Notamacropus eugenii: one gene and its partner. The protein of the gene in region 1 purifies or fractionates together with the protein of each later gene. This does not show direct contact. Links are inferred from orthologs where the notes say so. Each region holds a gene or a part of one and is shown in the gene's direction. Other genes may lie near its edges.

The links. The genes of interacting proteins can lie anywhere in the genome.
Region 2: the proteins of ITGA4 (region 1) and ITGB1 purify together in Homo sapiens (co-immunoprecipitation; 4 studies listed by BioGRID and IntAct, with this or other methods). This does not show direct contact. The link is inferred for Notamacropus eugenii from reciprocal best matches to the Homo sapiens genes ITGA4 and ITGB1.

The regions. Positions count from the first base shown.
Region 1 is NC_092876.1:245,621,338-245,628,915, forward strand, and holds the start of ITGA4 (integrin alpha-4), read left to right. Parts: upstream 1-4,569; 5' UTR 4,570-6,404; coding exon 6,405-6,601; intron 6,602-7,129; coding exon 7,130-7,251; intron 7,252-7,578. UniProt on the Homo sapiens protein: Integrins alpha-4/beta-1 (VLA-4) and alpha-4/beta-7 are receptors for fibronectin. They recognize one or more domains within the alternatively spliced CS-1 and CS-5 regions of fibronectin. They are also receptors for VCAM1.
Region 2 is NC_092874.1:72,861,026-72,868,898, reverse strand, and holds the start of ITGB1 (integrin beta-1), read left to right. Parts: upstream 1-4,866; 5' UTR 4,867-5,074; intron 5,075-7,873.

The DNA.
Region 1 (7,578 bases):
AGATGATTGTACATAAAACTGCCAATATATTATGCAGAATTTGCTATTCCTTTTAAATATATAAAAAAGTTATCATGTAGATTTTTCCTTTTCTTCTTCCCTCTCCCCTGCCCCACCCTAGAGATGGCTACCATTAGACACAAGTAGGTGTGTGTGTGTATGTCTATACATGCATAGACATACACACACACATATATTCGCATATATATTATATTTAGTTATTTTATACATACTTCTGTTTATTTATTATATGTACCTCCATTTATCAGTTCTTTTTCTGGATAGCTTCCAATTGTTCTTCCAAGATAGCTTTCTAATTGTTCTTCCTGAACTCAGTGTCATCTAAACAGGTACTGCAGTTTTTTTCATCTAGGCCCATCTTGAGAAGCCACTAGTCTTTCAAAGCTGAATTCAAATACCACCTCCTGGATGTAGTGTCCCCTGTTGCATGGAGCTGGTAAGAATCTTCTTCCTTGAAACAATCCTCTAACATCACCTTACTGATATCTCTATTATGTATGTCCCAAAGGTTACACATTGACATTATCGTTTTTATGAAAACATATTAAAATGTCTTTTTTTCCCCTCTACTAGGATTATAAACGTCTTGAGGGTAAGGGTTGTGTCTCTGCATGTTAGTGAAGAGAGAAAAGCAGAGTTTGAAAATAGAGACAAAACCAAAGACTATAGTTGGGGAAGGGAGAAGACTTACTCTGAGAATCTTTCACTAATGTATAGCTACTGAAATTAGGGCTCACACCCAATGAAATGATTACCTCACCATTTTTTACTTCGGATGGGTGTAGCTTGGGTACTTAAGGGAAACTGAATATAACTGAATGTCAGAATTGGAAGGGGCCATAGAAGTCATTCTGTCCAACCCCTTCACTTAATAGAAAGAGAAACTGAGATCTGAAGAGATGAAAAACCTGCCCAAGGTCAGAGAGAGGGAAGGCTCTAATTTATTATGGGAAAACCTGTCCTGATTTCTGTGTGTTGAATAGCTTTTGGGTTTGAGAATGCAATAAAGGAAACTCCAGATTAGATTCACTAGCTTGGCTAGATACCAATCATTGCCGCTCTCACCTCCCATCCCACCTACCCACCCAGGTATATATGCTTTAATTATGATATTTCTGCACTCCTGTGAATGGTATGAGGGGAGTTATAATGCCTTTGTCCTTTGCATCTTCTGAATGTGTGAGTCTAGCTGAGCTCCTTTTGTCTCTTCTCCAGAATCAGGGACTTCTGCAAATGGGGATGAGGAAGTCTCTGAGAATATTCTGCCTGAGCCCCTCCTTCTTCCTTCCCTTCTCCCCAACCCCAGAATGTTCTTTGCAAAAGTCACAGAGCCTTGGCCATCAGAAGTCACCAGGGACTCTGCTTTGAATGTTATTTCATGTAAATATATACACATTTGAATATTGATATTTGTTGAATGAAAGAATTAAGTTTAGTATTTACACCTGACTTACGAAATGCAAAATTATCTGAAAAGAAAATTAAAACAAAAGCATCTCCTTGGGTATGAGAGCCTGGTTCTTTTACATAACCATGGTTCACAGACTTCCTCTTCACTGTCTTTTCTGTTAGTGCTTTTGGTGACTTTAGTAGCTTGCTCTCATAGTTCTTCACCTTCAATAACTTTCATCTAGGCTTTGGGATGTGAACTTATCCAGATGTCTTAGCTTCTGTTCATTTCCTCTCCAAGGTACCATAGCTTCTGGCCAACAGGAGTGATGGTATCTACACAACTCCATGTATTCCTTAGTCAGTGCTTGTTCCTGTCTCTTCCAGGGAGTCCAGATGGCAAGGTCAGAGGGAAGAGGGAAGGAAACAAAATAAGATTGCTGTAGCATGAGGATATAATCACTTTACCACATTGCATGACATATATCCTATTGTATGACATAATATTGTATAGATACATATGCATATATACATATACATACATGAATCTGTATATGTTTGTGTATGTGTATATACATATATATGTGTGTTGTGTGTGTATATGTGTGTGTATCTCCTTTTATCCATTTCTTCTTGAGTGATTAGAAGATTTCCAGGAGGATCAATTGTCAAATATTTCTCATTACTCCCTCTATTAGCAGTTGATCTTGCCTGGTATTTTACTGAAAAGATGGGGTCACAAGGTTTAAGCTCCTTCAGCTTATTTCCTCTTTGTTTCAATACATCTCATCCTTACTCCCTTCTATCCAATTTAATTTTTCTTTGTATCTTTGCCCATCTTCTCCTTCCCCTGTGTTTTAAAAGAAAAGGGGTGTGTGTGAGTGTGGGTGTGTGCTCATGCACCTGATCATTTCAAGACCAACCTCTCTACTCTCTACTGTTGCTCTTAACCTGCCCTGTCTTATCTTTCCTTCTCTAGAATGGTGGTCCCTTACTCAGCCCTTTTCTCTTGTGCATCTTCTGTATCACTGCTTAGGTATCCCTTATACTATAATGCAAAACAAACTTTCTTTGAGTCTCTTAACCTCTTGAGCTACAGTCACCACCAGTCTTCTTGAATTATTAGCCAATTCGTATCATCTCCACTTCTTGAACATCCACTGACTTCTTCACCTCTCAAAAACTTACTGTCCACTCTCCATCCCACTGAAAATATTTATAGATCCCAAATGTCCTTCAAAATACTCCTTACTCACCCTCTTTGAACTCTTTTTAGCATGTGACCACTCCATCCTTTCTGAAAATCCTCTTTTGACTTCCATCACCCTGTATCACCTTTTTTTCTACCTGTCTAACTATTTCTTCAGTCTTCCCTGCTCTCTCCACTCATTCCTCCTGAGGAGCCTGACTAGATGACCTCAGAGCTGCCTTCTAGCTCTAATTCCTATGCTCTTAATGATCTTTTATTTGAATACAAACTCCTCAAGGGAATGTACAGTCCATGTCTCTTTAACCCATCCACAGCAACAATCACAGCAAATATTTGTCAAAAGGATGAGTGACCCTAACAAATATAGACCAATACGCAGAAATGAACAGTGACACTGTTTAGTAGCTAATGAATCTTCTTTCAGCTCTCTGACTGCAGTAATAAGGAATTCCCAAACCACAAAGTGTAGGAGAAATTACTTAGGAAAGAGCTCAAATATCTCATTGTACCAGAGCCAGATCCTCATCCCCTAAAAAGCTATGAGAGGCAGTCATGGCTTCTAAATGCATTCCTTGGGTATCTTTCTAAAGGAAGACTTCAGCAGATCTGCTTCTATCTTGCTACCATTAATAAGGCTAAAAGGAGCCATTCTCAGATCTTTGTAGGGATCACATTAAATTTATGATATTCTAAGATTGGAAAGACTGAGTTAATTTTCTAAATTGCTAGAAAGGTTACGTCAGGCCTGGTGCTTCTATTAGCAAAACTTCTGCTGTTATACACACTGACAGTTCCTAGGTGAGTGAATGAAGGAAAAATAGTTTTCAAGGGCTTATTATATGCCAAGCTCTGTGCTAAGTGCTGGAGATGCAAATAGAAAAGCCAGCCCCTCCCTTGTCTCAAGAAAGTCACATTCTAATTGGGTGAGACAACATATATCAGCTGTGTGGCCAACGTAAAGACCTAGGAATCTTTAAAGTGCATTGGCCTGACAGATTTCCAGAGGACATAGTGGAAGGGTTGATGGCAATAATAGTAACAACCAGCATTTATGTAGCATTTTAAGTCTTGAAAAGTGCTTTACATTATTATCCCATTTGATCCTCACAACAATCCTGTAAGATAGGTGCGGGTATTATTATATCCATTCTACAGATGAGGGAACTGAGACTGAGAGAAATTAAATAGCTAGACCAGCATAACAGTTATTAAGTATCTGAGGCATGATCCAACTAAGACTTTTGCTGACTCTAAGTCAAGTGTTCTGTCCACTCTGTGGTTGTCTTCTATCTTATAGGAAGTATTGTAATTGATGACTTTCTGCTCATCTAAGGGACCTTATCTGCCTGGCAAGGTAGGGGAAACGTAACTAGGGTGGTCTGTTCCAGGGTGACTTCTAGATGTTACCACCTTTGAGAAGTAGAGAGAGAGAGAGCCTGAAAACTGGTGTGGGGCCCCAGCCAATAGCTCTGGATTTCCTCCATAAGAATTGGGAATCAGGGTGTCAGAGTTCAGCCAGGAAGGGGAAAAGGTGGGGTGGGTAGGGAGAGCATCTATTTCTTGCATGGCTTGCATGTTAAAAAGTCATATCTGAAAGTGAACCCACAGTTTCATAAATTGTTCATGTCTTCTCCCATTTACCTTTTCTACCTAACCTGATTTGGGGAAGAAAGGGTTAGATGGAGGAGGGGAATCTCTGTACCACTTCATGAGCTAATGTAGGAAGAAGGAAAGAATGTGCTTACGAAATCTTGATGGTGGCCTTGGAGACGCCCTACTCCCATCTGTCAGCAGGGTAGCAAAGTTATTCACATAACAAGGCAGCAGATCACCTGGACCTAGTTAAATCCATCTGTTTTCTGGGGAAAGTCGGAAGCAGGGAACCACCCTTCTAAATCCTAACCTAAGTAACGTATGTCATCTTATCTATACTGCAAGATGAGTTTTGTTAAGTAGATTTTATTTCACTGAGGTTTTATAAAAGGGAGAAAAACAAGAAATACAGAGGTCAACACAGTGGCTCAGAATGTATAAAACTTCAGGCTGTGAAAATAGATCTGGCACCTCTGGACTGCAGATGCCTTCAGCTGAAGGACCTCATGTTGAAAAGTCCTGCAATTTTAGGAAATCATGGCTTTACTTGAAGAACAAAGATGGGATTGGCACCTGGATTAATTCAAAAACAGAAAAGATTGGAGGATAAATTTTCTTACATATTTCCCACACCAAAGATGTCAACATGCTTCCCAAGCCAGAGTCCAAACTAGATTAAATGTAATTGAGAAATGTTTAATGAAATAAATAAAAACTACAATAAAGTATAGATAATGTTAATTTATGATTTTCTAAATCAATATGGGGCTGGCAGGACTATTCAAAACAAATAAAAATTTATGAGATCACATATTTGTATCAGTTCATCTTCATTCAGAGAAAAAGAACTAATTTGCAGGTTTGTTTAATTTGACAATTTATACTCACTCAACCTGATCATTTATACTTATACCACCAAATAAACAAATTGAGGAAGTCTTCTTTTGCACTGCTTTGGTGAAGATTTCACATTCAAATCTTATTGATATGGCAACTGACAAATAAGTGGAAAGTGGACAAATATATAATTTTCATCACTTCTGGAGCTGTTCTTCATTGACCGATGAAGATTTCACAATCCTGTTCCTGAACAGAATCTGTTCTTCTGAAGACAAGAGTAAGTTAAGTCAGGTCTATTTGGAGGCCCAGTAGCAGGGTATTTAAACTGGATTCCTATAACTTAGTGGTGGATGATATTTAGAAAGACATGTGCCTAGGCAATCCTAGGCAGGACTCTGTTTTCAGCTTTGCGAAGTTAGAAAGTTCAACCCTGACAACTTGTCTAGAGAGCTCCACTCTTGATTAAAGTTTTCAATAGGCAGCATTTGCCACTCAGTGTTCCCCCCACCACCCCAACACCACTGACTGGCCTAAGAGGGAAGTGTAAGTGAGGGGTACGGAAATGGGAGTGGGTGTATTAAGGTAAATAGTGGGTATTTTTTTTAACATCAAGCATTGTTCTCAGAAACGTTGCTGTTTGCTTTTTGGTACCTGTGTGAATCCTCCCTCTCCGTTTCCCCGTTCGCCTTCCTTTGGACTTGCTGCTCACTCCTGAAGAAAAGAATTTCTAGAGAATTATTCATTGGAAGAGGCGGAATTTCTATCCCAATCTTTGGGTTTCTAGAAACAGCAAAGCTGGGCAGGCTTTGTACGCAGTAGAAGTTCTTCGCAGAAGGAGAAAAACAAAACTCTCCCCGGGATTCAACTTCTCTCGTTCCCCCTGCGATCCAGATCTAAGTCTAAGCATCCCCATCTGATAGGAAGGCAGAGCAGCTGGGTGCGTGGAACATCTGGACCTACGGAGATCTCCTAGCGCCCTCTGCAGCCAGTCTGGCCTTGGGCCCGTGGACTAGCGGGGACTCGCGGCCTCACACCGCTCCAACTCCCTACCACACCCCTGGACCCACCCAGTCCTGTCAACCAGTCAAGGCGGGAGCCCCCAAACTTCTCGATACAGAAACTGGGCGGGAGGAATCCAAAAGCCCAAGTAACCTACGGCGGTTGAGGACGCTCCGCCCGCCGTGAACTTCCTCCTCCTCCGCCTCCCCCCTCACCCCTGCCAGCCAGTCTGTGTGCCTGGTGGCGAGGAGCCGTAGGGAGACACGCGGTATCTTGGGGCGCTGTTATCTGCTCATTCGAGCACAACTTCTGAGCTGTGTGCGGCTTGTTGGATGTCCCGGACAGGGAGAGAATGGCTTGGAAAGAAAGTGGAAAGGCTGGGCCCCCAGGAGTGGTCATCTGGAAGGCGGTGATTATCCTTCTCTGCCACCGGATTCCAAGGATCCATCCCTACAACTTGGACACGGAAAACCCGCTGCTCTTTAACGGACCCAAAGGGACCCTGTTTGGCTATTCGGTCGTCTTGCACGGCCATGGGGACAACAGATGGTGAGTGCAAATGTCTCAGGGTTTCCCATTTGCGGAGAGGCTTTAAAACCCGCTCCTTGAAGTGACTCCCCGCTTCAAACTTTTTTCTCTCAAAGGAGGAAAGCGCTCAGAAGTGCCAGACATCCTGCAGTGCCAGGGCCGTTGACAGGCGGTTCCCTGATGAATTTGGCTAGGAGTAAACTTTTCTTGAAGTTGAAGCGCCCAGAGGCGGGGGTGGGGGAGGAGTGAGTGGTTCTGTAGAAACCTCGCTTAATTTGGGTACCGTAGGAGGTAAGCACATTGGGCATCTTAAGAAGCGAGTACACTGGGCAGGGTGGGGAGCCAGTCAATCAACAAGCGTTAAGGAGAGCCTATTAAGAGCCTAGAAAGTGGGTTGCTGTACCCTGAGTCGTGAGTCAAAAGTTCGGAGTTGTAGAGCTGTGTGCTTCTCCCACCCCCACCCCCACCCCCGATTTTGCCTAGCAAAATGTGTGGGATGATCTTTTACCATTTCTGTTTTTGCGCCTGCGTGTGTGTTCCATGAGCTAGGCTTGTGGTGGGAGCCCCTACCGCCAACTGGCAAACCAACGCTTCAGTGGTCAACCCCGGTGCAGTTTTCAGATGCAAGATTGGAGAGAACCCTAACCGGACTTGCGAACAGCTCCAGCTGGGTGAGTTCAGTAGGGGAATTGCCACTCATTTGTACCTGAAAGCAAAACGATTTCTTTGGAAATTGGTTGTAATACTTACACTTAGCCTAGAACTTACACTTCTGTATTGAATCACTGGGATTCCCTTTTCCCTCGCTGCCCCTCCCCCTTACACCGCCAAGAAGTTTTCGTTTTTCCACCCGCAGTGAGGTTTGCCTTTTGCTCCAGATAGTAATTTCAAAGCTACTGAAAAGAGAAGATATTAAAGAAGATATCTTTTATTTAAAAGGACAAGTCCTGAGAGACCCCTTCTTCCTTTGCTAATGCTCCTTCAGCCCAGGCACATGC
Region 2 (7,873 bases), on another chromosome or scaffold:
AGGCAGAGAGAAAAGGCTCATTTGTACAAAACTATTTATAGCAACTTTTTTTGTCGTGGCAAAGAACCAGGTTCAAGAGGATGCCCATCAATTGGAGAATGGCCAAACAAATTATAGTATATAATTGTGCTAGAAACCTATTGTACTATAAGAAATTATGAAGGGAATGATTTCAAAGAAATTTGGGAAGACTTGCATGAATTGATTCAGAGTGAAATGAGAAGAACCCAGGAGAACTATTTATATAAAAACAATAATACTGTATAGACAAACAACTCTGAAAAATTTAGGAACCCTGATCAAAACAATAACTAATCACAGTTCCAGAGCAATCATGATGAAATACGCTACTTGCCTCCTGATAGAGAGGACTCGGCACAGACTGAGACCTATTTTGGGGGGACATGGCCAAGGAGAGAATTTGTTTTGCTTGACTGTACAAGTTTGTAAGAGGAGGTTTGGGGCTTTTTTGTTTGTTTGTTTTTTGCTGCCTTTTTAATCAGGAGTGAGGAGAAAGGTGGGAGAAAAGATAGATCTTCCTGAAAATAAAATTTAATGATTAAAAAAAAGACTTGGTGTTCCAGCCTTGTCTGCCACATGATAGCCATGTAACTTTGAGCAAATCACTTAACCTTTAATAACTTCAGTTTGTCCTTTATAAAGCGGGTATAATAATATTTGTACTACCTACTCCACAGTGCTATTGTAAGCATCAATCAGATTATGTATTAGTATCTTACAGTTCTAACACCATACTCAGCATTCCTCATCAAATATCTTGCGAATGCATTGGAGAACCCGAGTTAAAATCCATCCACCATTTCTGGACAAAAAATGCATAAAGGGTATGAACTACTGACCACGGGGCAGCAGAATTATTGTATGAAGCACAGCAGCATACATATACATGCCTGTCTGGGTTTCAGTAAATAAAGACATCTACTCACACAAACCAATATTTGCATAGAAAAGCAAATATAAATTCTCTTAGAGATCTCAACAGTTTTCAAGGACGCAAATAACTACCGAGTATAAATATCCAGTCTTAATCTCTCCCCTGAACTTCCTGCTAGATATCTTCTCTTGGATGTCCTGTATTTATCTCAGAATCAACAGGTCCGAAGTAGAATATATTTCACTCCTTCCCAAACCTATTACCCCTCCAAACTTCCTTCTTTCTGTTGAGGAAACATACTCTCAGTCACCCAAATTCTAACCACATAACCTTCTTTGATCCTTCCATCTCCTTCATATTCAGTCTATTGCCAAATCAGCTGCACCCTGTAGCCTTGCCTTTATACAAAGTTGTACTATATTTCTTCCTGTTAAAGACCTGAACTCCCTTCAAAGTTCTGATGAAGCGCTCCCCCCTCTGAGGCCTTTCCTGATCCTGTCTTCCTGCTCCCTGCTCTAGTGGGTGCTCTTCCCTCCAAAATTACTTTGTATATGCTTATCTGTCTACATAGTCTCCCACCCTACAGAAGGGAAACTCTTTTTTGTCAGATAACAAGGACCGTTTCTTCTTTGTCTTTGTATTCAGAGTGCCTAGAATTTAACAAGTGCCTATTGCTTCTAGCTACACAAAATCTCTTCTGTCGGTACCCTTCTCTCCACCTACAGACTCACTATTCTAATCTGGAACCTCATTACCTCTTCACTGGACTACTGCAATATCCTCCTAACTGGTCTCCAGGATTCTAGTGTCTCTTCCTTCAATCCATCCTAAACATAGCTGCTAAAATGATCTTAAAATACAACTGACCATGCCGCTCAAAAATCTCTAGTAGCTCCTCATTGCCTTAGAAGAAAATATAAATTCCTTAGTTTGGCATTTAAGACCCTCCACAATCTGATTTCCACCAACTTTTCTAGCTTTGCTTCTGTAACAGCAAGGACCCTGGCATACACAGGAGGATCTGCTGTATAAGTTCTTAGACCTGCTTTTCTAAAAGCAAAGCAACTTTTGAGGGGACAACAATCACTTTAATCAAGCACATGAATCATTCACTTAGTTCAGGGGGAAAAGTCAGCTCTCTGACCTTCAGAGAAAATACAAAGAAATAATAATCAGCAGGCAGGGCTTCCAACTGACAGACTGTAAGCAATACATACAACACAGATCAACAGAGAGATCCAACTGTCTGACCATACATACTTAGTTACTAGACAGAGAAGCACCAGCATCTGGGTTTTCAAAGCCGGGGGGCTCCTTAGAGGCTGCCCAGAGTCTTGTCTGGCCAAACACTTTCAATGAGTAAGCCCCAAAACAAAACCTCTCCTCAAAGTATTTATACATTTTTCAGAGCCAGAGGACAGCACCTTCTAACCCAGTGCCTCAATAGAAAGTAACAAAAGGGGTGGGCCTCCCCTAATCAAGCTTTCCTTAATGGGCAGGCCCATCAATCGCTGGGGAAGATCTTTAGCTCTCTAATTAACATTACAGCTTCATACTACTCCCCTTCAAGAAGTTTCTGTTCCTTGAATTCTCCAACTTTCTGGTACATTATTCATTCTTACCATGTTCTTCTCCATATCTGGTCTGTACATTTCTCAGTTTCCCTTCTCAGAATCGGTCTTCTTTCCTCCACAGCTCAGCTAAGGCGCCACCTCCCCCTTCATTATTGATTGTCTGATTGCCTTAGGTTGTTACAGTTTTCCTCCATGGTTTTCTTTGTCCTAGACTATTTATGTACATGTTGTATCTCCACAGCAGTCCCTTTAAGCCAAGGACTTTCACATATTTGTCTTTTGGTCCTCGACGTTATACATAGTAGGCACTAAAAATGGTTACTTGAATCAAAAGTACGTAAGTAGTTGAAGGGGCACCATATTTAGTAACATGCTGTTAATAGATCAATTGTAACATCCAGTTGAACACAATATATATACATACATACATATATTACATATATGTATATATATATGTATAGCACTAGATAATTGTTTTGCCAACATTAAGTGATATTTTACTCAACTCTGAAAGATGAAAATCTTTTAGGTTCTGAAACGTCACCTGACATTCAAGAAACAGTTACAGAGAAATTTAAATCAAATTGTCAAATAGCAACAATAACTAACCTGAGGCTGAACATAAGTACATAGTTTCCAATTTTTAATTGAACACCAATTAAATCAAACACTGTAGTTGAATATCACATGTCAGCTGAGCAAGAATACAAGTTTGTTTTTTTAACACGCCAAGCTAAAAGGTTTAATTCCAGTTTGATAATTGAATAAACCATAAGGTTTTCCTCTGCTGTTACAGGTGTTGCTAATTTTGTGTAACGATACAATCCTCTTCAAATCCAAGGATCTATGTTCTCTGTGGCTTTACCAGTAGGACATATATTTTCAAATGCCATTTATTCTCTTCTAATAATAACTGACATTTATAAAGTTAAGGCTTGCAAACCACTTTGTAACACATTATCTCATTGTTCCTCAAGAGAAGTCTCTCCATTTTTATGGGGGAAAAAACTGCTGCTTGGAAAGATCAAATGAATTTGCACCATTGGTACTTATTAGACCTAAGGTTTTAACCTATATCTTTTCTAATGCCAGGTGTAGAGCTACATCCATTTTACCAATGCTAATTTCAAGTAGAAAAAGTAATTCTCACCTCATGAGGGCAAAGAAGTAGATTTCACTCTACCAGTGTTAAGTAAAATTTTCATCTTTTGATGCATCTAAGCAAATACAGCTATATTTCCTTATAGGTTTGGTTCAAACTGGGTTGCCAAGCGTATTCCTGCCCTCCTCTTTCCATCAGAAATAAGATCTTTAAGCTTCAAGTCTACAGTTCAGGATGCCCTTCGCCCAAAGCCACAACTTTCCAAACAGCCAAATTTTCAGTGCCACAAGATGGTATGGTGCCCAGGCAGTAGGCTTTGAGTAACTAACTGGGTTTCTGTATGACCTGGGTATTCAGTTTCGAGTCCTTTTATCTAAAAAGCACCCTGCCTATGCAAAAACTCTCACAATGAGTACTATTTCTTCTCCTTTTTTTTTTTTTTTTTTTAATAAACCTGTTTTAAAATATTTCTTCGACCTGGGAGGGGAAAATTGGACCGGAGTGACAGGGATCCAAACCTCCTCTTTCCGGGGGGCCAATCAATCAACAAGTATTTATTAGGGCTTCCGTGGCGCAAAGAAGGGAAGCAGTGGCTGCTCCCAGAAGTGTCCATTCCGACGGGAGGGCGGAGGGGCGATACGGCACGAAAGCAGCTCAGTCCAGGCTGGCCTGGGAGGGGGCTGGGGGCGGCGGCGGCCTCCGGCCTCAGTTTCCCCACTCTGGCTGCGGAGGGGCCCGGAGGGGTCTCGGTCTAGCCCAGACCACAGCCTTTATTTTCCTCTCCAGTCTTTAGCTCCAGACCCTCGGCCCGGCTATCTCCCAATCCAGACGGTGACCCGGAGGCGAGGGAGGCTCGGCCTGGGCCTGGGGCCCGCCTGGGCCGGAGGGGGCGCCGCCGGCCCGGGCTGGGAAGGGCGGGCGTTGGGCACCCGCCGGAGCCCCTCTCGCGACGGGAGCCTGGCCGACTTTGACAGACAGGGAAACTGAGGCTGGGGGCCCGAGGCCGCGGGCCGCTCCCCGCAGGCCCTCCCGCCACTTCCTCGGTCCGCCCTCCCCCGTCGACTCCTCCTCGTCCTCTCCCTCAGCCGCCGGCGGAGCGGCTGACGCGGCCCGGGAGGAATGCGTTTCCGGAGGGAATGCGGGGCTGGGTCCGCGTGGGGAGGGGGGAGCGGAGGAGGCAGCGACGGGAAAGGGGACAGGAGAGAGGCGGGAGGACAATGCGGATTGGCTAGCTGGAGAAGGAGGGCGGTGGCCGGGGGGCGGGGCCCCGCGCCACCTTCCTGAAGGGGAGGAGGCCGAGGGAGTGACTCGCCCCTCCTCCCACCCCGGAGGAGGAGCTGGAGCCGGAGCCCGAGCCGCTGCCACCGCCTGCCCGCCCTCCGGGAGAGCCGGGAAAGTATCTCGGAGCGGCCGCGGCAGCGACAGAGCCAGGCCGGGCCCAGAGCACGCGGCCCGCCGCCCGAGCGTGCGCGCCCCACAGAGCCCCGCGCGGACGGCGGCGAGGTGAGCGGAAGCCCGTGGCGGGGGGCGGCGGGGCTCGGGGCGCGCGTGGCGGCCCGCACCGGACCCAGGGAGAGGCAGCCCCGGCCCGGCCCCGCTCTTTGTGTCGGGAGGGAGCGGGCGTCCGCCGTGGGGGTGGGGCCGCCGGGCCGCCTCCGCTTAAGGCAAGGAATTCTTGCCTCGGGGCCGGGAGGAGAGCCGGGGGTACGCCGGGTCCGGCTCGTCCTGCCCTCGGCGCCTCCGACTCGGCCTCCGCCCGCGCTCCCCTCCCCCGCTCCGGCCGCGGCCCTCCCCCACTTTGCTGCCGGCCCTTCCTCCGCCTTCCATCCTTGCAACCTTTTCTCCTCGAGCCCTCCCTTGAGCTCCCTCTTTGCCTTCACTTCTCCCCCTCTTTATCCCTCTTTCCCTTCACTTCTCCCCCTCTTTATCCCTCTTTCCCTTCACTTCTCCCCCACTTTATCCCTCTTTCCCTCTCTCTTTCCCCTCTATCTCTCTTTCCCTCTGTTTCTCCCCCTTGCCCGTGTCTTTTCCCCTCTCCCACCCGCCCCTCTTTCTCCCCGAGCGCCCCATCACCTCCCTGCCCTTTCTTCTTCCTCTTCCTCCCCTTCTGCTCCCCTTGGACCAGAGCCCTCCTGGGGCTTGGAGCCGCTCTGCCAGTGGCCCCGAGTGGACGGACGCACGGACGGACTTGTGCCCAGCTGGCTCTCCAGGCCGGCCGGGGTTGGGTGGCATTGGGTGGCATTGCGGCCTGTCACTTCTGGAGATGTTCTGTGGTCACCCCTGGGACTTGGGGCCAGGCTTAGGAGAGGCCGGCGCCCCGTGGACTTTGTGCGCGCTGGGTATGGACGTGAACTTGACTTTGGAGTTGAAGTAGCCCTAGACCTTCTTTCTGTATTTTCCATTGTCTCTTACTTTTATGATTTAAAAAGTCCTTCAGCCTAGAAAATACCAGTGTTGAGGTGGCGTTGTATTCCCCCTTAAGATTCCCGGTGCTGTATTTTTAATTTTTTTTTTTTTTTTACCATGGCCCCTAAGTGTGTGTGGGCATGGATGTAATGGGTACGGGACGAAACCTGAAGCGTAAAAAGTTGGTAGGTAAGGAACATGAATATAACCGAGAACTTTGGATATTTTCCCCAAATTCCTTAGGTTTTTATGCGTAAGAACACAAACTTTGCTGAACTACAGACAGTGAATATTTAAATGCATACCTTTGTCCCAATAATAGATCGCTATACTCAGGGTTTTCACAGTGCTCAGTTTTGTTTTGGTTCTGGGCTGTAACTTCATCAGCGTGGGGACACCCTCTATTGAAGCAGATCAGCAGCTTCTCTGAACTTACCATCTGAAGTGTTCTGTGGGCCTGTTAAGTGGCCTGCCTGCAATTGCTGGGCTTGAACAGCAGGTCTTCCTGAGGACAAGGCTGGCCCAGCCCTAGGGCTATATGTTCTGTGTTGTTTGGGAGTAGGGAAACGTACCTCTGCTACAGACTGGTTGTGTTACTTGGGCCACAATTGCTTCATCTATAAAATTAAATTGGACTATCTGATCTCTAAAGTTCCTTTTAGCTTTATGGTATACTATGATCTTATTTGTATACAACTTTTATCTCATCCCCCCAGATAGATTATAAATTCATTAAAATTGGAAACTGCTTATTGTATTCTCAGTGTGTAGTCTATTCATTTATTGTCATTGTATCACACTCAGAATTGGACACTAAAAAGTCACAAAATTTGGCACCTTTTTTTTTGACTTCCTAATCATGCTTAGGAACTTTTAGTGTATCAGTTTCTTTTAATATTAAAGTAATTCTAGCATAAATAGTGAAGTTTTCCTGAGTAAAATGTAGATACTGTATAAAATGTAATGCTTCATTTTGCAAACTGATTTTTGAGTGGGAGGGAATTACTGGGATTGTTAGTGTCTTTTGTGTTCCAAGACAAAGTGATATATTTCTAAGGGATTTTCAGTGTGACCTGGTCTCTGCAATATTTAATTATATTCCACAGAAACAGGAAGTATTAACCCTGACACTTGTAGGCACTGGGAATGCTCAAGGCAGTCCTCAGCTTTAAGAAGTTTGTCATCTACTGGGAAATGAAGGGTAAAATGAGATAGGATGTGCACAAAATGTAAGAACACAAAACTGGAAGGTATCTTAAAGATCAGGCAATCCAGGCTTATTTTATAAAAGGAAGAAGTTGAGAGCCAGAGAAGTTAAATGAGTTGCCCAAAGTCACATAGCTAGTTTATGGAAGAGATAGGTCTCCTGGTTCCTAGCTCAGCTTCTTAAGTCTTCAAAATTTTGGCCACTTAAATAATTTTAAAAGAACACTTAAGTGTGTGTTTAAAGTGTCAAGTTGACAAGTATGATTGTTATAAAAACATTTTTTACTGTGCTCTTAGGACATTTTTTAGGATCCTAATTAAGCTGATTTTTGTAAGATTTAAACATATAGAAATGTTTGGTTCTGTTGGAAAGTAAAGTGGTAGATAGAAAAGCAAAAAATAATTTTAATTTCACTTAGAAATGTAGAATACATTTGTTTGACTTATAAAAAACAATCACCAGGCTTGTTTCTATAGAAATATTAGTACTTTACAAAGATGAAAACAAGAGTTGTTTTTTTTCAGAATAGACCCTTTGGATTTCCCTTGCCATATTTTCCCTTAAAAAGTTTAGTACATTAGAAATAACATGAGAATTAACAACTATGAATAATCATTTTAATAATCAGGTAGATTTCTTCATTCCCTTCCCTTATAGTTAATCTTGGTCCTTAAAAATTACCAATGCTG